5 separate regions of the Mus musculus genome follow, and regions 1, 2, 4 and 5 are each reported to be linked to region 3. The links are microRNA targets in miRTarBase. Many come from high-throughput screens and were not tested one by one. Region 3 holds a microRNA gene; each other region holds the end of a gene's coding sequence.
The links. The annotated mature microRNA mmu-miR-1930-5p reads ACCUCCAUAGUACCUGCAGCGU and lies in region 3 at 1,848-1,869, shown strand. An mRNA with a match to its seed (bases 2 to 7 or 8) in the 3' UTR can be bound and repressed. Matches are read on the target gene's strand: a 7mer-m8 pairs with bases 2 to 8, a 7mer-A1 pairs with bases 2 to 7 and ends in A, and an 8mer does both.

Region 1 (4,121 bases), not on the chromosome of region 3:
AATATTCTCATGTCCTCAGACCAGCAAGGCACTATGATGCAAAGACAAAGGAGGAAAAGCCTGCTCACTGAGGCTACTGAATGCCAACACATAGCACACTGTTTTAACTGTTGATTTCCCCCTGCCTCTCCCATGTGGCCATATTCGCATCTCCTGTTCTCTTTAAACAGGTCACCAACTGCTCCTCTCCTTGAAAGACTGGCATCTAGCCAGCCCACCTAATCTCTCCTTAGCCACTCACCACTCTTCATTCTGTTGATGTGTTAAGGATAGGAGGGCAAACTGAAAGTGTTTAATAAAACTCAACAGAAGTCAAATCACCACCCATCTCAGTGTCATTAACTATCAACACAACTCAGACAGCAACTGGGCTCCATCTTCACCCATGTCTGATTCTCCTAAATCCTCACTCCACTAAGATCAAAGAATCATTTTCATCTCCACACAACGTTCACACACAGGTATCTTTGAATGGTGCTTGTGATTCAACTGTTGCTAAGAGATGGGATTGTTTTTCTAACTGACAAGCAAAAGGCAAGTTCTTGAAAGACATGTTTATTACTAATGGATACATCACAGTATGCATGTGAATCGAAGGATCCTTATACATACATAAAGACTTAAATTTGTATTTCTAATCAACTAATATTATGACTAGAAATGTTCAAGAGAGTAGTATAGTAAATTGACTTTGTTTGACCCCACATTGGATAAACTGCCATAAATTAAATAAAAAAGAATAGCATGCCATTAACCATACTCCATATTAAGTATATATTAGGATATATACATTACTGCTTAGGAATCATCAAGTAGTCCAGACATATATTTATACATGTAGTCTCTTTTTTTTTACATGTAGTCTCTTATACCATGATTTTTCCCCCAATTAAGCCCTTAATTAATTAAATACAAGAGAAAAAATCAGGATTACTAATCATTTGGCCTGAGCTGTAATAGTAACTATGTAGTTGAGAGACGTGTTTTAGTCAGTGGCTTAGTATCCAGTGGGGAGTGGCTTCACTTGTCTCTTGTTGACTTATTAGAACAGTCTACACATTACAAAATGCATGAATCAAAGAAATTTCCAGGTAATTTTTTTTTTACATCACCAACTATGTTATAATATCCTCCCATCTCCCCACCTCTGGGCAGGGTACTTTGCGTACACAATGCTCTCAGTTTAAGGACTGTAACCTTTACATCATTTTTCTTCATTGATCACACACTAGGGAATAGAATGATCGAGAATCCTGATTCACTGCAGCTGGGTTACTAATGAAGGCTGGCCCCACCTATCTTTACTTGGAATCATTGGAAACATTTGAGAGGGTGGGGGGAAACTGACCCACATTTTTCTTGGCTAAAACTTCCCAATTTAATAAATGTAAGTTAGTCTCCTAAATCACTGTTTTCTTCTAAGTAAGTTGTCTATTCTTCCAACTCCAGTTTTTGCTGACCTCATAACTATGAAACTTACAGTCCCTGATTTAAGAAAAATAAATGAACCAGGTATTTTATCCTGCTGCCATTTTATACTTGGTCTGAAATAACTAATGAACTTCAAGAGATTTGTTGCAAACATGAAGGTGTCCTCAGAAATAGCTTGAATTAACAATCATCTAGTGCCTATGTATCTTTAAACTATTCATCATGATTAATTCGCCTTTACAGCCTATCACCCAAATTATCCATTCAAAATAACCATAGGTAAAAAGAGAAAAACTTCCATTTTTAACTTCTATTTATAAAGTATAGATTCACAATTTTAAAAATGTCCTGTTATGGTAGGTGGGATTTCACCTAGACAACAAGCTTTAGACAAAGAAGCAACAAATGATATCACTGACATTATGTGAGGTAGGTATGTGCTGTTTTCAAAATTCCTACACCAGGAACTACAGTAGGTCCTAGAATTGTCCACTACACTGTCCTACCTCAGAAGCAGTCAGGGAACATATCTAAGTAATAACTTTGCCTGTCAGCCCATCTAAAAACCAGAGGGTCTGTCCTGGTATTTACCTAACACTCAGACCCTTACAGCCCCATAATTACTTTTGCATAAGAAAAATAGAAACCATGAAAACTTCACGCATGGGTACTATTCCTGAAAGCTTAAAGAATAGGGTATTATAATCATTTGCTTTCTCTGTTATCACTAAGCAAAAGCACCTTTGAGAAGGTATGGTGGTGTAAATATGTTTGGCCCAGGGAGTGGCACTATTTGAAAGTATGGCCTTGTTGGAGTAGGTGTGGCCTTGTTAGAGTAGGTGTGTCACTGTGGGCATGTGTTTTAAGACCCTCATCCTAGCTGCCTGAAAGCTAGTCTGCTCCTGGCTTCCTTTAGATGAAGATGAAGAACTCTCAGCTCCTCCAGTGCCTTGACTGCCTGGATGCTGCCATGCTTCCAGCTTTGATGATAATGGACTGAACCTCAATCTACAAGCCAGCCTCGATTAAATGTTGTCCTTAAAAGAGTTGCCTTGGTCACAACAATGGAAACCCTAACTAGGACAGAAAGAAAGAGTTTATTTGGCTTATAGGTTATAGTCTACCATAGAGAGAAGCCAAGACAGGAGTTTGAAGAAGAAACCACAAAGGAAAGTGCTTATTGGCTGGCTTCTTGTAGCTGGCTTTACCTTTCTTTTGCAACTTAACTCCCCAAACCCCTGCCTAAGGATAGTACCACCCATAGTGAGCTGGGCCTTTCTACATCAATTAATAATCAAGAAAAAGGCCCACTGGTATGTCCACAAGCCAAGCTGATGAAAATAATTCCTCAATTTGCTTCCTCTTAAGGGTGCCTAATTGAGGACCAAACTGTGGCAAATATTGACATAACTAATTTAAGAGCATTGTAGTCTTGATCTATGGGCTCAAGAAGCTCAAGAACAGATAGAAGCAAGCATCAAACATAAACAAAATATACTGCACCTAAAGATTGCCTGACTCAGCAATCTGTTCCAAAAGCCTAATTTTTATTTAGATGAGTGTTTGAGTTTAAACTATATTAAAATTACTTCAAAGCTTCCTCTATCTCATTCGACTTTAACAAGTATGTCACAAAACAGTCGCATTCTAAGCTTTACTCATTAGTCTCACTTTATGTTCTTACTAGAAAGCCTGGGCCATAGTTCTTAGAGATGCTCTCAAAAAGTCAGAGTCAGAGGCACTGCAGCCCCAACTCCAAGGTCTGGCTTTAAGCTTTTGGTTTGGTTCTGTTTTATTTGTTTGCTTTTAGAATATGTTACAAAATCAGAGTTCACACCACTTTAATTTTCTTTTGACACATCTCTTAATGTAGAAATAAAATACATCACTTATTTTTTTTTTGCTCCATTCCAAAAAATTAAGCTGCAGTGTTGGAATGAGAAGTGCGTCCCATGTTTCCTTATTTATTCTTCAATACAAACTCTTCTTCTGGATTAGTTAAACAGCAGAGAGAACAAGCCTTCTCCATCTCCTCCAAGCTTCTGATTGGTGTCAAGAATCAGGCATTTAAGTTAAAGCTCCTCCCTACCATGAGAAAATAAAGGGCAATTAGCTGGGAAAGCAATGATGTAGTCAAATACATTTGTAGCATAGTGCATAACCAAGCTGCATGCCAAAGTCACCCACATGTAAGTTTTCTTTAGTTTTCTTTACAGATTCTTTATACTCTTTTAAAATTTTTTAATCCCCTACAAATGCCACATGTTTTTACTGAATCCTAAATTAAACCCATTAACATATTGTGGAGCTTTTTAGTAGCTAGAAACTCCTAAGTGGAGACTGCAACCCCTGTTTTGATCATGTGCCTGAATGTTTTCAAGGCTGCCTGCTCCCAGTGACCTACACTGAGTTTCCTTTTTTTTAATCTTTAACAATTTCATTCACTGTGTAATGTGTTTTAATCATTCTCTCTCTCTCTCTCTCTCTCTCTCTCTCTCTCTCTCTCTCTCACACACACACACACACACACACACACACACCCCTCTTATCCCCTTCTACCCCCACCAAACCCCTTCTTCACAGCAGCCCCAAAACCCAGCATCTTCATGCTTTTTTCTGTTTCTGTACCACTGAGCTGAGCTACAGTTGCCTGTAAGAGCGTGAGTGGAAGGTTCTTTACTGGAATATGA
Region 2 (4,121 bases), not on the chromosome of region 3:
TGGCAGATTTGGTGGAATATCACAAGGTGAATCCAATCATATGTTTAATTCACACTAGGAATTATTGTCCTATAGATATATAACAAAGAATATAGATATATAACAAAGAAACAAACAAAGAAAATAAATATATAACAAAGAAAGGCCTGACTAGGGATATAGCTCAAGTACCCTTGAGCAAAGGGATGGTGGTAGCACATAATTTCTGCTGGTAACAAGGGGTTTTAATTGTATTTCCTTTCTCATATCCACCTGGCATACTCAGAGATATCCCACGGGAGCTGAGAATACTAGAGATGTATATTCTGAGCATATCTGAGGGTGTTCCTATGCTAGAACTTGGGCTTCAGTAGGACAGGGAAACTGAAAGGAGGGAAATCTCTTTTAGTATTGTCATAAGCCAATCTAGGTATGCATAAACCCAGGGTAGAGGAGTGATCTCCCCTAAGGAGCAGCATGAACGTCTACCACATAGCTGCCTCATGGCCCTGTGCTTTGATTGACAGGAGGAGCCCATAACCTCTCTGGGGAAGGAACTCCTTCTGTACCCCTGTGGTCAACAAGACAAGCTGCCCGACTACCTGGAGCTCTTCCAGTGACAACTCTCATCCAGATCAGCCTCCAACTTCCAGCTGGTTTCCCCTCTGGACAGACACCTCTGAGATGGACATTTGTGTGTGATGCCAAAATCTCTCTGTGACAGAGCCAACAGTGAACAACGTCTGAGGTCTTCATTGAAACCTCTCTTCTGCATAAATGCTGGATTCAGTTTAAGGGGGTGTTACCTCTCTCTCATCCTCATTCTGAAAGGAAAAGGGGGAAGGTACCCACATTTGCAACATCCTAATATGAAGGATAGGACCTTGAAGGATATGACCATGATGATGTATATAAGATAAAAAGGACAAGGGTACACTGAAATCTTTTTAGCAATTAAGATGTTATTTTAAAAGAACAAGTGAACAATTTCATGATCTACACACTCCCTTTTTGTTATTCACTCAAAGGTCTCAGTATTCTGTGTGTATAAATTTTTATCTTGCTTTTAGAATGGTGGAAAAATGTCCCCACTGAGGGATGAGATTATCTTCAAAAGACCACCCTTTCTGTGTCTGTTGGAGTGAGGTTATAGAAGACAGAAGAGAAAGACCCAAGTGTAAATTGAAAGACAAGTTTCAAAACTTGAGATGAGAGACTTACCACATATGAAAAAAACCAACCAACCAACCAAAGGTTTTATTGTGACAGTAACCCTGAGTGTGATGGTTTGAATATGCTTGGCCCACAGGGAGTGGTAGTATTAGGAGGTGTGGCCTTGTTGGAGGAGGTGTGGCTTTGTTGGAAGAAGTGTGTCACTGTGGGGGTGGGCTTTGAGACCCTCCTCCTAGCTGCCTGAGAGATTCAGTCTTCTGGTTCCCTTCGGAAGAAGATGCAGAACTCTCAGCTCCTCCTCTGCCATTCCTGTCTGGAAAATGCCGCGCTCCTGCCTTGATTATAAAGGACTGAAACTCTGAAGCTGTAAGCCAGCCCCAATTAAATGTTTTTCTTTAAAGAGTTGCCTTGGTCATGGTGTCTCTTCACAGCATTGGAAACCCTAACTAAGACGCGTGAGTAATCTTAGGGTTTGTTTCTTCATTCTTCTCTACTCCCCCCCCCCCCCATCTGAAAGTAAATATAAAAGATACTGTGCGTGGCCATGTAAGGACTTGTGTGGTCCTGATTCCAAGAGAAGAACTGAATAAGTGAGTGGTTTGGATACCACCTATTGAGGGATGAATTGTGTCCCACACCAAATATACATGAAGTCCTGACCCTTCTGTATCTGAGTATGAACTGATAGAGAAATAGGATCTGTGCAGAAAAGATAAGTAAGATAGGCTCCAAATCTAATGAGTTGCATCTGTATAAGGGAGAAAGATAAAGAAAAAAGACAAACATGAGGATGGAGGTTAAAGGACCACAGAAACAGAGAGTAGAGTGGTGTAGGGCAGGGTATGGCGGGGATTATGAAAGGCAGTACGGCCCAGGCCCAGACTCTCCCTAGGACTCTATTAGGAAGCATGGCTTTGTTCATTTGCATCTTTATTTAAGCCTTCAGGGATTTAGAAATGTGAGATAATAAACCTCGAAATCACCGAATAGATGGCAACTTTTTACAGCAGCCTCAGAAAACTAGTGCAATAGTTTATGTAACCATGTGTCCTGCACGAGTTGCATGGATTTGTTTCTTGCTGCACAGTGTGCACCCTCAAGAGGAAATAAAAGTAGGATATAGGAATAAGACCCCGAGTAATGCTGGCTAGCCCTGGGACACAGATTTATTCAGCAAGTAATCTCCTACCTGCATCATCCTTAAATCAAAACCTCTAAATCCATTCCTAGACCAGCCTCAGTGAGGGGAGGCCAACCTCTGCTGAGCAGGGAGGGCATCTGTGAGTCACTTTTGCCTGGGAGGAAGTTACTTTGCCCATAGCTAAGCATTTCTTTTTACTTTGTCTTTTAACTAATGTAGATGGCACTGCAGTCTGTCCTTTGTGTGACTCACTCATTCCAAACACAGTGTACCAAAGTAGAGGCTAATGTGCACTCAGTCAATTGCTTCTTGAAATATTCCATTGTATTGTTAAATTTCTATGAGTCTCTGCCATTTCACTTTGTTGTAACATGGCTCAGAATCTCTGAGCTGTTCCCATCTCTCTCCACTTTTCCCTAATTATTTTGAATAGGCACTTTACCTAACTATGTTAGTTACTTTCCTCACTGCAGTGACAAAAGTACCTGACAAAAGCAACTTAAGGAAGGAAGGGTTGACTTTGGCTCATGGTGTGAACTCGTGGTCCATCACATGGGAAGGGACCGTGGGAGGTGGTGCGGCAGCTAGTCACATAGAACCCATATTTAGGAAGTAGAGAGAGATGACAGCTCTCTCCTTTTTATTCAGTCTGCGATCCCAGCCCATGGAATAGCATTGCCCACATTCAGGGTAGGGTTTCCCTCTTTGGCTAATTCCTTCTGGAAACACTTTCACAAGCATATCCAGAGGTGTTTTCCCACAGCGAACCTAAATCCAATCAAATTGACAAGATGAAGCATCACACTATCCGTCTTAGTTTGGGTTTCTTCACTTCTGTGAAGAGACATCATGACGATGGCAACTCTTATAAAGGACAACACTTTACTGGGGCTGGCTTACAGTTTCAGAGGTGCAGTCTATTATCATCATGGCAGGAATCACTGGCAGAAGGGCACTTTCCTCCACAGTAAGTCAGAGAGGAAGCTCTCATTCCTTATTTGGCAGAGCCTGAGCATAGAAGCCTCAAAGCCCACCCGCATAGTGACACACTTCCTCCAACAAGACCACACCTATTCCAATAAGACCATGGGCCAAGCACAGTCAACCACCACACTATTCAATCCTCAGTTTTACTGCACAGGAATGGTCTTTTAACTGAAGGACCTTTATTGTTCCTCTAGCTCTGAAAGCATACAGATCTGCGTTCTGTTACTCAGTGGAATAAGTCAAAAGTATCCTTTAATCACTGATAATTTTGAAGACATTTGAGATACCAGCATCATCCTCTGCCTAAAATTGTATTGTAGGCAATAATTATGGCTGTGTCCAAATGTATCTGTGTTTAGCGACTGAAAGAAGATTAAGAAACATCTCAATCCAGTTAACCTGATATATTACCAAGAGGAGTACCCTTGACTTCTGTAGTGTTTTATCTTACAGGTTCTAAACATGCAGAGGAATAAACTGTCTAGTGCTCAGTGATACAATGGCCAGGAGGAATATTTGAAATTCTGAGGGACACTTGTGTGTTGGGCTGAAGCCAAGTGCTAGTCCCTGCCCACATTGATTCTTGTTTGTTTGCTTCTTTCTTTCTTTCTTTCTTTCTTTCTTTCTTTCTTTCTTTCTTTCTTTCTCTCTTTCTTTCTTTCTTCCTTTCTTCCTTCCTTCCTTTCTTTCTTTCTTTCTTTCTTTCTTTCTTTCCTTCTTTCTTTCTCTTTCTTTTCCTTTTTCTTTCCTTCTTTCTTTCTTTCTTTTTTTTTTTTTTTCAAGACAGGGTTTCTCTGTATAGCCCTGGCTGTCCTGGAACTCACTTTGTAGACCAGGCTGG
Region 3 (4,121 bases):
GTATTTTACAGATCTGTATGTATATCACTGTTCTAAAATAACCTATCAAAACTTGAAGCAGATTTGTAGTGCCAGTTTGTTTTTTGTTTTTGTTTTTGTTTTTTTGTTTTTTGTTTTTTGAGTGGGGGGGGTGAGACAGGTTTTCTCTGTGTAGTCCTGGCTACCCTGGAACTCACTCTGTAGAACAGGCTGGCCTTGAACTCAGAAATCCGCCTGCCTCTACTTCCCAAATGCTAGGATTAAAGACGTGTGCCACCACTGCCCAGCTATAGTGCTGTTTTTTTTTATGGAGATATTTCATCTGTGTGTGAGTTGCGTGCGTATACATGTACATGTGTGTGTGTGCAACATGCATGTATGTGGGGGCATCAGCCTCAGGACAGCTGTCTAGCTTGATTTTTGGGGTGAGGTCTCTCAAGTGGCCTGGGGTTTGCTGATTTGGTGAGGCTGGCTGACTAGTGAGCCAAGGTGATTTCCCCCCCTGGCTCCACCTCCCCAGTATCTGGGTCAGAATCCAGTGTGGCTGCCCTGCCTGTGTACATGTGATCCTGGGGTTGAGTCCTGATTCTTGAGCACTTTGCAGACTCGGCTGTTTACCTCAGCCAGGGCTGCTTTTCCCCCAGAGTTATTTTGTATTTCTTAAATGTATATGTGCATCTGTATGGGTGTATACATGTGTCTCTTAAGTGCAAGTGCCCGCAGCTGCCAGCAGAGTTGGAGCCTCCTGAAGCCAGAGCCAAAGTGGTTACAAACTCTCCACTGTAGTGCTGAGACTCAGACTCAAGTCCCCTGCAGAGTAGTGGGTGCCTTCTCAACAGCTGAGCCACCCTCCCGTCCTGGCTCGCCTTGGGTTTTGGTTTTGTTTTGAGACAATTTTATCTTGTGTAGACCAGGTTGCTCTAGACACTAGGCTTCACTACATCCAGATAAGTTTGTATGTTTAGAAAGTCTTTTCTAGTAAGTAAAGATGACTTTTGAATCAATATCTTATTTCCTCTCCATTTGGTATCTTCAATCTCTGTGGAACTGTGGATCTAACATGGATCCTGTCTGTGGAAATCCTGTGGGAAGGTCTTTCTGTTTTAGATCTGCTTAGACAGGGAAGCAGAGTTCTTTATTTTTTAAACATATATTTTAATTTTTAAATTTTTTTCTATGCTGCTTATGCTGGTCTCCAACTTTAGATCCTCCTGTTCCTGCCTCGACAGTGTGGCTGTTGAGTCAGGTGTGCCTCCCTGCCTACTTTGCTGTTGATGCGGGGCCTGGGTCTCTCAGGCAGTGTGAGTGGTGCAGGGCCAGTTTTTACTGCTGTGCTGGCTGTTGCAAGATGATCTCACCCATGCTAATGCAGGAAGCTTATAGCCAGGATTCCTGCCCTACTGACTTTTTATAGTGAACAGTGTCCACGGTCTCCTGAACTGCTGACGTGGGTCACATTAGTAAGGTTTGGACTGGAGGGGTGGGTGTCTGGCAGCATCCCACCCATTCCTAGGTCCCTGCCGCCAGGTCTCAGTCAGCATCCCCGTCTCTAGGACTTGAGCAGGACTTCTGTGATGGCTTGGCCCATTTCTGTTATTTACACAGAAGACATGGATGGTGCAGATTGGAGTCTTAGGGTCTGGTGGGACTGCTGTGGCCTTAGGCTGCTTGTGCATTGAGCATGAGTTGAGGATCACATGTGTGCCCTATCCGTTCTAAAAGTCACACCTTAGACATAATTGAAAATTCAAAATGTCCTTTGATCTATATTCCGTAGCTCCTCATCTGTGTGCATAGTCTTCTTGATTACCGTCTGCCAGAATTGACACCTTGAGTCCTCATAGGAGCTGGACCACATGCCCACGGTCACCTCCATAGTACCTGCAGCGTGCTTGACTTTCTCTATGGTGCAGTTACTGTGGCTGTGGCTGTGTTCGTGCCTCAGACTGAAAAGGACTGAGATGGACTCTCCAGGGAGAGAAAGCAGCAGTCCTTTAGATTGTTCATGCACCATTTTAGGCCGTGGTAGTATCCCTCTTGCACATCTGAGTTGTGGCTGGCATTGCAAATGTGTCTCTTTCCTGATTTTCAGGGGCCCTGAAGACACTTGTTTTGAGTTTGGTGTTTTTCCCGCCATCCTGAGTTTCCCACTTGACTACCCCTTGAGCCCTCCGAAGATGAGATTCACCTGTGAGATGTTCCATCCCAACAGTAAGTGTGTCTAAATGAGGTTGACAGGCAACAGAGTGCCAGCCACACTGTTAATTAAGAACGGCAGGGAGGGCCTGCAGGCACAGGGCTCTCAACTCTAAGCTGTGACCAGTGAGTTACGGTGTGAGCACCAGGACTGCCGCTTTGAGGTCAGCTTAATGTAGAGGGGAAATGCACACACTTAACACTGTGTTAATGGGCTTACTAGAATTTTGAGGCCGTGAGTGCTTTGTGTCCTACATTGGCCTTTGTCACAGTGTCATTTTAATGGCGGACATTTGGAGTTGGGCTAGAGAGGTGGCTTAGTGGTTTAGAGCACTTGCTGCTCTTGCAGAGGACCCAGCACCCACATTGTTGCTCACACCTGAGGCTCCTGGGAATCTGGTCCCTCTGCTCGCCTCTCTGGAGCCAGGCTGTCGTACACAGACATGTACACAGCAAAACAGCCCAGTGGTCCTACCGCAGAGCAGAGGGCACACTGTAGTTAGCCTGCATGTAGGCACCGAGGACATGTTAGGAATTCCTAGACAAACAGTTCCTGTCACTCAGGCTTGGAATGGAGCACTTGTGCTGTGTTGAGTGGGAAGTAGGTGAGGACTCACTGGTACTCTGGAGTTCCATCTCTGCCTGGAAGGGACCATAATACTGTCCGCGACTATGCCCTGATTGGGAGTAGGGGTTTCTTTCTTCCTTTTACTAGTAGCTATTATACATAAGAGAGGTTTGATGGAGAGTTTAAATTACTCAGGATGGCCTTGAACTCCTGATCTTCCTGTCTGTCTCCCAAGTGCTGACTTCCATGCACGTTTGCCCAAGCCAAACTTACCTAAGAGAAATGGACAGTGGTGGTGTATTTTCAATGATGGCATTTAGGATAATGTTTCTTTTTATAAATGTTTTTCTTTTTCTTTATTTTTTTATTATTTATTTATTTATTTTTGGTTTTTCGAGACAGGGTTTTTCTATGTAGCCTTGGCTATTCTGGAACTCACTCTGTAGACCAGGCTGGCCTCGAACTCAGAAATTTGCCTGCCTCTGCCTCCCAAGTGCTGGGATTAAAGGTGTGCACCACCACCGCCCATTATAAATGTTTTTCATTGCCACTGATAATCCTGATCTTTTTGCCTATGGAGCTGAAATTCAAGTAGGATATTCTATTTTGTAAAAATAAAACATTTACTTATTTGACACCAGGGTTTTTTTTATATGTATATATCAATTTTATTTTATGTGTATGGGTTTTTTGCCTGCAAGTGTGTCTTTATATAACAGACAGAGGCCAGAAGACTGAGTCAGATCCCCTGAGTTGGAGTTAAGGATGATTCTGAGCCATCGTGTGGGTGCTGGGAATTGAACTCTGGCCGAGCTGCCTCTCCAGCCCAAATGGATGTCTTTGTATTTTGTAAAAATAATTTTGAGCTGGGTGGCTCTGGTGCACATGCCCCCCCTTTCTCCGCACCTAAGGAGTTCAGTTGTCTTGCTTCTGCTCTAGCTACACGGACATGGACTTCGGTGGTGGGGGTGGCTCTGCCACCTGAGTTAGGGATGTCTAAACACCTGCTCTGCAGGGCCCCGTGAGGGATCTTACTCGCTGGGAACTTGAGTTTGGAATATTTGTCCATACATCTTTCACTTCCTCCTTTTAGTGATAATGCCTAGAGAAATATGTAATAAGGTAGAATTCAGTTGCAACTGGTCTGTGTTAGACAGACCTCGTCCCAAGCCCCCTTGTCCGTGACCACAGGACCTGATCAGTCCACGACAGGTTGGCCTGTGGCTGGCAGGCATCTGGGATCTGTGCCAACAGGAAACTCCTGTCTCAGCTGTGCGGACAGTTGGGCCTCTGTCTGGAGCTTCCCCACACAGTGACACTGTCAATGATCTTTGCAGTCTATCCTGATGGCAGAGTCTGCATCTCCATCCTGCATGCT
Region 4 (4,121 bases), not on the chromosome of region 3:
GAAGCTCAGCTAGGCACTGGATGTTGGAAATGATCCCCCACAGTGGTAGTGCCCATACAGGCTCCCACTAGCGATGTGTATGTGTAGAGTTTTCCTACATTCTCATTGATAACTATCAAGCTGAGTTTTCCAAGCTGACACGGTGACTGCATTCCTTAAGACAGTACACATCTCTCCTATTGGCTGTGGACTTTGTGAGTGCAGAAACCTTCGTTAGCTCAGTTTTATGATCTTCCCATGAAATTTGTTGAGCTTAGTAAATACACAATAAAGAATTATCAACAAGTACATAATGGACAGAATTTATTCACTTTGATCCAGGAGATGGGAAGCCCCGTGAAGACAGATGAATCTTTCTGTTTACTTATCTGGGCTGAGAACTGTCAGAGGAAGCCCCATAAGCTAGAGTAGATCTGATCTGCAAGACAGGCAGAGTTGGCCTACAGACCAAAAGCTTTTGGCCCAAGTTTTTTCACACTACTCACTGGGTGTTTGACTATTGTGAGGTACTACTTTCCAAGTCTCTGGAACCATCTTAATTAAGTACCAAGAGGTTTACTTCTCAATGGCCCCACCCCTGGTCCAGATTACTAGAGTCTAGGTAGAATCCCTGTGTTCCTTGGACTAGGGTACTGCATGACTATGGTAAACGCCTTCCCTTTCTGTCACCCCAACAGTCCCTCCCGGGTGACTCATTTTCTAAATAAGCTACTTGTGGTTTGGGTTTGACATCACATGTGGAAGAATGAGTAACATTTTAGGAGTCAGAATTATATTTGATCAGAATAAGACCCACAGTGCATGTTACTCATAGTTTTAAGCCAAGGGGTCAACACTGGTAATTTGTCCCCCAAGCTCTCATCCAGCCAAGTTTGTGTATACTGTATTATATGATCACACTATGAAAATTTGAGAAAATGATTTCTTATAGACCATGCAAGATTAAATAAAATACAGCAAAGTGATGAGGGGCATGTGTTCTACTGTACTGTGGCTTGGCTTGCTCACTGTAGTGTGCATTCACATGTGTGTGAACACACGTGGAAGTCTGAGGTTGACTCTAGATGTCCTTGATTGCTCACCACCTTCTAGTTTGAGACTGGGTCTCTGGCTGAATGTAGAACTCACTGTCTCAGCTAGTAGTTTGCTCCGGAGACTCCCTGTCTGTGCCTCCCACACACTAGGTTTACAGACAGGCTCCCATACCCACCTGGCTGTTTTCTCGGTGAGTCTGAGGATCCAAACTTTGTTCTTCATACTTGTGCAGCAGGTACTTTACCTGAGGAACCATATTCTGACCCCCAATTATTTGGGTTTAAATCTTACTTGTACAACTTGACCAACTGGATAACCTTAAACAAGTAATTGGGGTTTTCTTCAATTTCTTCATGTGTAAAATTATAATAGTACTTATCCCATAGGAGATCAATAAGTTGCTTTAAGTGCTTAGAATTATGCTTAGTAAGCTCTGGATATGTTAGTAAACATGTCTTTGACTCCATCACGACGTCTACACATAGGGTAAACGCTCAATCCATGTCACTAAAGAAGCACGTTGTGTTGCGGTGTATTTGGAACCAGAGGGAGAGAAGCATGGATAAGTGGAAGACTCTTGTCAGTAAAGAGCTTCAGAACAGGCTACCTCAAAATATGCCACGCTGGGCACGCTGATTATTTTGAGCCAAAGGCAGTGGGCACTGAGAGGTACAGGGGGAGTTCTCTGCTCTCCCTTTGTGCCTGAAACAGGACCTAAAACTCTCATGAAGAAGATGTTCCCTCACCAACCTATACAATAAGAACATTTTTACAACCAGAGACTAGAGATTAACATGGAAATGCGTTTATACAAACAAAATCTTAAGATGTGTGACCGTCTCCTTCACCATTTTCCCATGTGCATCCTAATTCCTTTCCCACAGTTCACTAGCTTTACACCAGACCCCTTTGTAGTGTCACATCTTCAAGTTGTCATTCTTCGAATCTTCACTTTCCTTATAAAGACACACAAGTAGGTATAAAAACAGAATGCATATGCAGGCCTGGGCAGGCAGAGGTATAGTGTTTGCCTCGCATGAGTGAGACTCTGAGACCCTGGGTTCCAACCTCAGCAGAAAGAGAGGGGAGGCAGATTGATTGATTCTCCCTATTGCCCTTCGTTTAGCTCTCTGTAGGTGTGTGTACTGTGCAAGGAAGGATGGAGTGATAGCACTCATCAGGTGCCATTCAATGGGAGATTGTGGGGATCCTACTTCTCCCCTTACCTGTCTCAGTCCTCAGACCCTAAAAACACAGGATAAATGTGACTCAGAAAAGAGACCTGGTACCAGAGAAATTCATTCTCTGCCCTCCTGGAATCCCTGCTCATGACCATGAGCAGAGACAGAAATTGGTGTCAGACAGTGACATTTCAAGGGGTGTTGACTTGTTGAGTTTATATCACATGGTATCTATCACACGCAGGGAATTACATAGCTAAGATGTTTACACACTGACTGTTTTTCCTCAAACATATGCAAATGTGGAACTTATCCTCAGAGAACCATGAAGAAGTTGTCGGAGTAAAATCCCTCAGAGCCCACCCAGCCGCAGGCCTTTAGGATGCCTGAACTACGTACGACAGCTGTAGGACCAAATTCATCAGAACGGGTTGCTTCTTTTGTTGGCTGTACCTTGTGGGCTTTAGCTGAGAATCTTGATGAAAGATGGGAAGATGGGTCTAACTTGGTTGATATACAGGCAGGGGTGTTGTGAATATTGGAGTCTGTGAATTGAATCAAATGGGTAGAAATGCCAAGCTGTTGGCAGTCAAACAGTTCTAGAAGAGACAGATCCACTGGGGAGCTTGTTGGGAGCATCAGGATGTGATATTCAAGGTACAGACACATTCTTAACACAGACGTGCGCACCTGCCATCACATGCACACACACGGCATCGGCAACTTTACCCTCCTGGACTTTTAACTACCTAGTCACAAACACACCTGCATGCCCACGTATGCTCTCATCTTAGATGGGGGAACCTCAGGGCTGAATCAAATGCTGGTTAAAGCTGCTGCTTTTATTACACCAAGGTCTTGACATTCATAAGGTGAGGAACACAAAGGTTGGTGGACTGCTGTTATAGCGGCATGCATTCTCCTCTACAGTACAGCTCTGAAAGGTAAAGGTAACTGCTGCTCACACAACAGAACTGCTCTCCAGAGGGGAGAGAGGAGACAGTGCGGGGAGGCCTTGTTCTCTTGTTTCAACAGACACAAGGAACTTCACCTCCACAGCAGTCTAGGGGAGTGCAGGGTCAGGCGAGTGTGCTTTCAACAGGGACCACAGGAGATCCAGCTTTGGGAGAAGTTCCTAAAACTTAGAGCCAACAGTACTTGGAAGGTAAGAACATACTTCCCACAGGTAGCACTGACTACTAGGACATGCTGAGCTCTGTTTCCGAGCTGGGCTAAGCTGCCAGGAGTCCTACGTTACAGAGATCCTGGCTTCACAGGGAAGAGTAAGACACGATGGCTCTGTCACAATAAGGCCACTAAATTCACAGCAATGATGACTTCAGAATAAAGCTCTTAAAGACTACAGGGAAAGAGCCCTTTCCTCTCCTGTCAGGCCTTTCTCAGGGTAGGTACCTGCCCTGAGACTATCACATGGTCATTTCTGGGCTGCACAAATTACTGAGCACAAAGGAACAGAGGAAGGGGCCACACATGTCAAGTCATGGGACATCGCCACCAAACATGGCAGACTGCTGTTGGTGAATGTCTTAGATGCCTTTCCTGGTTGGGCCGGATGCCCTCGTGTATCTGAAGAGCTAATCTGAAAAGAGGCTGGCAAAGGACTTCCTCAAGCTCCGGATGGTCTCCGCTTTGGCTTCATCTTCATTGGCTGAAGACCGGAAGAAGGAGGACTCAGAGAAGCTGAACGCATTTGTCAGGGACTGCGACTTGCTTGAAGATAAAAACCAGAGAGAAGGTGAGGAGGGTGTTTCTAGTGAGGCAGTGAAGGGCTGTGACATGAGGGTATTACAACAAGTACTCCCCATCCCCTCCCCAGGGAGAACAGGGTAGCAGGAGGTGGTGGGGAGGGCTGCACTAGGCACTGGGAAGTCCTTCACTACTTCC
Region 5 (4,116 bases), not on the chromosome of region 3:
GGCAAGAGAAGTGAGAAGGCACAAAACAAGATGGAGCAATAGTTACTACCTGCACTCACCTAAATGGTGACACTGAAAGTGAACATCTCTTAAAAACAAGGCAGAAAGGGCTGGAGAGAGCTCAGTGCCTGACACCAGTAGTTGCTCTTCCAGAGGGTCTGGGGTCAAGTCCCAGCACTCACATGGCAGCCCAGAACTGTAACTTCAGTTTCAGGGGATCTGACACATGCAGGCAAAACACCAACACATGTAAAGTTTTAAAAGGGAGGGGGGTGGGGGCTACTGAGATGGCCCCAGCCCCCCTCCCTTTTAAATGGTTAAGAGCAGTGACTGCTCTTCTGAAGGTCCTGAGTTCAATTCCCAGCAACCACATGGTGGCTCACCACCATCTGTAATGACATACCCTCTTCTGGTGTGTCTGATGACAGTTACAGTGTACCTACATATAAATAAATCTCTAAGAAAAAGAAAAAGGGAGGGGGTGGGATGGCACACTCCAGCACTTTCAGAGCAAAGGCAGAAAGGCCTCTGGTTTTGAGGCCAGCCTAGTCTGCAAAGCGAAACCCTGTCTCAAAAAAGCAAAATTAAAGCCACATGGCAGGCCATCTCTGGTCTAAGAATGGAGTAAAAACAGCTCATCCCAGACCATTGCTGTTTCTACCCAGCTACCCTCGTGCAATCCTGATAGGTTTTATGAACATAAAACTCTACATGCTGCCTTCCACATTGGTCTCCTATCTATTTTAACAGAACAGCCCTGCCCCAGTCTCAGAAACCATAATCACAGAAGAGTTAAACGACCAGAGGACAAAACTTATGTATCTGATGTCTGTCAGTTTTTTTTGTTAAATAGCATATACCCTGGAACCCACGAGGCAGAGCTGATGGATCTCCTAGGAATTTGAGACCAGCCTGGTCTACAGAGCATAGGTACAAGACAGCTGCTCTCTCAGAAAATCAACACTAGTTTAGTGTACCTCCTCAGCCTCGCTAAGACTGCAGGGATGAATCACAGCAGCTGGGGTGGGGGAAGGTAATCCATCTGTACTGTGATGATGCACACCTGTAGTCCCGACACTTGGGAGGCAGAGGCAGGAGGATTTCTGAGTTCCAGACCAGCCTGGGCTACACAGAGAAACCTTGTCTTGAAAAGACAAGAAGTACTACTTACTACCTGTGGGTTTGGTTTTTTTTTTTTTTTAATTTAGTTCTAAGATCCATACGACCTATTTTAGTGAGTAGTTTAAGGTGCAGACCCAACATTCCCCCCTGTTTTCCAGTTACCCTACTGAAGTTTAAGCATTTATCCTTAGTGACAGGCAAAACTCAGAGAGGCACTATCTGCCCTCCGCAGCTCTCCCAGAGAACTCTTCCTTTGCATAGCACTTTGTACTGGCAACAAGCTGTGGGCCACACAGCACGATTGGGCTAAGCAGAAAAATGTCAGAACTCGTGAGAGAACTCACTAGAGATTTTTTGCTCCTTTTTTTCCCCCTTAAGAAAGGTCTCATGTAGCCCAGGTTAGTTTGAAAGTTACCATGTAGCTGAGGCTAGCCTTTAACTTCTTTTCCTGCCCCTCAGCCTCTCAACTGCTAGGATTAAGGGCACATGCCACCATGCCTGACATAATAAGTTGATTTTTTTTTTTAAACCATAATACTCAGAGTCCTTAGGGGGGACTTCAGTGAACAGAGCCCATGAACTAGACTCCTCAGCCGTAAGAGGGTATCAGAGTTGTGTTGTTCTCCCAAACACCCTTACCTCCTTAGACACCTAGGATGGTGCAGTTCAGAACAGATGAGTGACTCTATGGGCTTTGTTCTTTTTAATTCAGGGAAAGAAACGGAAGGGAAAGTTGAATGTTTAAATAACTCTAGAAGAAAAAGATGTAGATTCTGGGACCTACCTTTTCTAGAATGGGGATTCATGATTTAAACAAAACAAAGGGAAGAAAAATAAATTACTCTTCTCAATACTGTTTGGCATAATTGCATTGCTTTCCCGTTTCTCATCACAGCAGCTTGAGAGCAGAGATGAGACAGGCAAAAACTGGAACGGTGACTATGTGCGATGGTTCGAGCCCTGAGAGGTTCTGCTATACGCCCCTCCCTTTTTTTTTTTCCTCCACCCGTGCTTTTGAAACTGGGAAGGAACAGACTCGAGCAAAGTTCTCCATGTATTAGTTTTTAGGGTTGTTGCCTCATCCCAAACCTCTTAACACTCTCCCTTATGTGTGACTGTCCCCCAACCAGGCTGCTTGGTAATGTGAACTCATTAAGAATGGGAAATATTTATGTGGACGCTGCAGCAGGGACGTGTTTTCTGCGGCCTGAGACATTCACTGAAGCCCTTTCTCCCAGTGAACCTCAACTGTGACCAAGTCATGCAAGTAGCTTCCAGTTGTAACCCCTGATTCTTGACTGAGCGGCCCTTCTGGAGCTGGAGAGTAGGTTAGAACAGGCGAGTAAGCAGGGTAAAGGTGCGGACAGGAGGAGGCATGCAGGGCAGCCACCAATCCGCTCCTCCCCAGCAAAGCTCCGAGCCATCTGCGCGAGGCCCCGCAAACAATTGTCAAGCAATCTTGGTTGGATCGCCATCCCTGGCAGCTTGAGGGTAACTAAAGCATGAGTCCAAAGCAAATCCTACCCCCAAGCAAGAGGCTGCCTGCTCCTCTTTGGGGTGACAATGAAAGAAAACGGTACATGCTCAGGGATCTCCTTTCCAGCCAACTGTCCAACCGTGTTGCTCTCTCGCGCCTTAGGGCTAAAGACACGGGTCACGTGTGGGAGAGCAAAAGCAGCCGAGTCAGGGTGGTCTCACTTTGTCTCCGAATCAACAGGTGAGCTGGAGAGGAGGCCCAGGACCTAAGGACAGACGCTGAGAAGGTGGTAGGAGACAGGAGTGAGGGCACATGTGAGAGAAGCACCTTGCATGTGACCCGGTGAAGCTTCCTACCCGTTCCTGACACTAGTGAGGCCCTAGGGAGATCAACCCAACAGGGGGTGAATTCAACCCCCTACTACCTGGTGCGCCACGGAAAGCCCTGGAGAGTGTCTCACCGGAACCACATTTCTTTGGATGGCTTCACTCACCCACCCGGCCTAAGCTGGAAATGAGCAGTTCAAGGCGCTCCTGCCCAGCCCCAGACCCGCCTCTTAAAAAGCATCAAAATTCTTATCCAAAGCAGGTTTAGGGGAGGGGGTCGAGGCCCGCCGCCTCCCAAGGCCATGATTGGTGGAGACGGCGGCGCCGGAAATTCTCCTTGAGTTGCGTGATTGGCTAAGAAAGAAGCTCCTCCCAACTGCAGCACTGATTGGTTGCTGGGGACGGCGCAGTCTGATTGGTGGGCTGCAACCGGCGCTTGCCGGACCCAGAAGTGACTGGTTCTGAAGGCGCTCAGGGCCGCTCAGTTCCCTCGGTAGACCTCGATCTTGCTGGCCTTGGCCAGCATGTCGATGATGTGGGCTTCGAAGTCGGCGTCATGCACGCCTGTCTTCCGGAACTCGCCCGCGTACCGGTTGTTCTCCCAGTAGTGGTGCCAGTTGCCTCGACTGTCGGCCCCGAACCCATACACGTTCACCTGTGAGGAGGGTGGCACAGGGGTCACTGGGAGTCGGGGGCGTGGTTGGGGACACCCAGGCCTGACATAAGGGCACTGACTCAGAGGGGACTTCTGTCTCTTTCTCATTTGTGTTTCGCTTTTTCACGACTGGGTCTTATGTAGCCCAGGTTGGCCTCAAACGCTGCTCCTGTCTCAAACTCTCCGTATCTGATTACAGGTGCCACCATGACCCTGCTAAAAATGTGCCTTTTAAATGAAGTAGTTTTGTTAGTAAATCTTAAAAGGTAATGACGATGGGAAATGCAAAAATATTGTTTATAGGAATAACAGATATGAAAAAACATGGTTTCTGTTTACAAAAACTACTTCCCGGGAACCACAGCTAAGATGGGGAAAGGGCTGTTTCCTCTGTTTATGGTTCTCCTAATTCTGCTCTAGACAACACCGACTGCCTACCTCATCACACACATGTAGTGCAAAGAAGAGCACCAGCATTCCTGTGGAAGGGTAGCGCCCGTGGTGCTCGGTCCACCTGTCGTGAATGTACTTGAAGA

Region 1: miRTarBase lists Impg2 as a target of mmu-miR-1930-5p. Seed matches in the 3' UTR shown: 7mer-A1 at 3,462-3,468 and 7mer-A1 at 2,370-2,376.
Region 2: the mRNA of Sh2d4a is a reported target of mmu-miR-1930-5p. Seed matches in the 3' UTR shown: 7mer-A1 at 1,320-1,326.
Region 4: miRTarBase lists Syn2 as a target of mmu-miR-1930-5p. The part of its 3' UTR that is shown has no 7-base or 8-base seed match.
Region 5: the mRNA of St3gal2 is a reported target of mmu-miR-1930-5p. Seed matches in the 3' UTR shown: 7mer-A1 at 2,121-2,127.

What each region holds. Positions count from the first base shown.
Region 1 is chr16:56,270,175-56,274,295 of GRCm38, reverse strand. It overlaps Impg2 (interphotoreceptor matrix proteoglycan 2), which reads right to left. Exons shown (of 20, transcript NM_174876.3): 20 at 543-3,516. The coding sequence ends at 3,504. Among named protein-coding and RNA genes, the nearest start is that of Impg2, 68 kb to the right of the region's middle.
Region 2 is chr8:68,346,148-68,350,268 of GRCm38, forward strand. It overlaps Sh2d4a (SH2 domain containing 4A), which reads left to right. Exons shown (of 9, transcript NM_028182.1): 8 at 1-26; 9 at 507-1,557. The coding sequence ends at 599. Among named protein-coding and RNA genes, the nearest start is that of 1700125H03Rik, 20 kb to the right of the region's middle.
Region 3 is chr10:77,639,389-77,643,509 of GRCm38, forward strand. Mir1930 (microRNA 1930) reads left to right here and starts at 1,836; the gene lies at 1,836-1,919. Ube2g2 (ubiquitin-conjugating enzyme E2G 2) reads left to right here. Exons shown (of 6, transcript NM_019803.3): 4 at 2,072-2,190; 5 at 4,081-4,121.
Region 4 is chr6:115,280,914-115,285,034 of GRCm38, reverse strand. It overlaps Syn2 (synapsin II), which reads right to left. Exons shown (of 13, transcript NM_001111015.1): 13 at 2,409-3,947. The coding sequence ends at 3,812. Among named protein-coding and RNA genes, the nearest start is that of Timp4, 31 kb to the right of the region's middle.
Region 5 is chr8:110,969,566-110,973,681 of GRCm38, reverse strand. It overlaps St3gal2 (ST3 beta-galactoside alpha-2,3-sialyltransferase 2), which reads right to left. Exons shown (of 7, transcript NM_009179.3): 6 at 4,019-4,116; 7 at 1,185-3,580. The coding sequence ends at 3,407. Among named protein-coding and RNA genes, the nearest start is that of Gm51551, 18 kb to the left of the region's middle.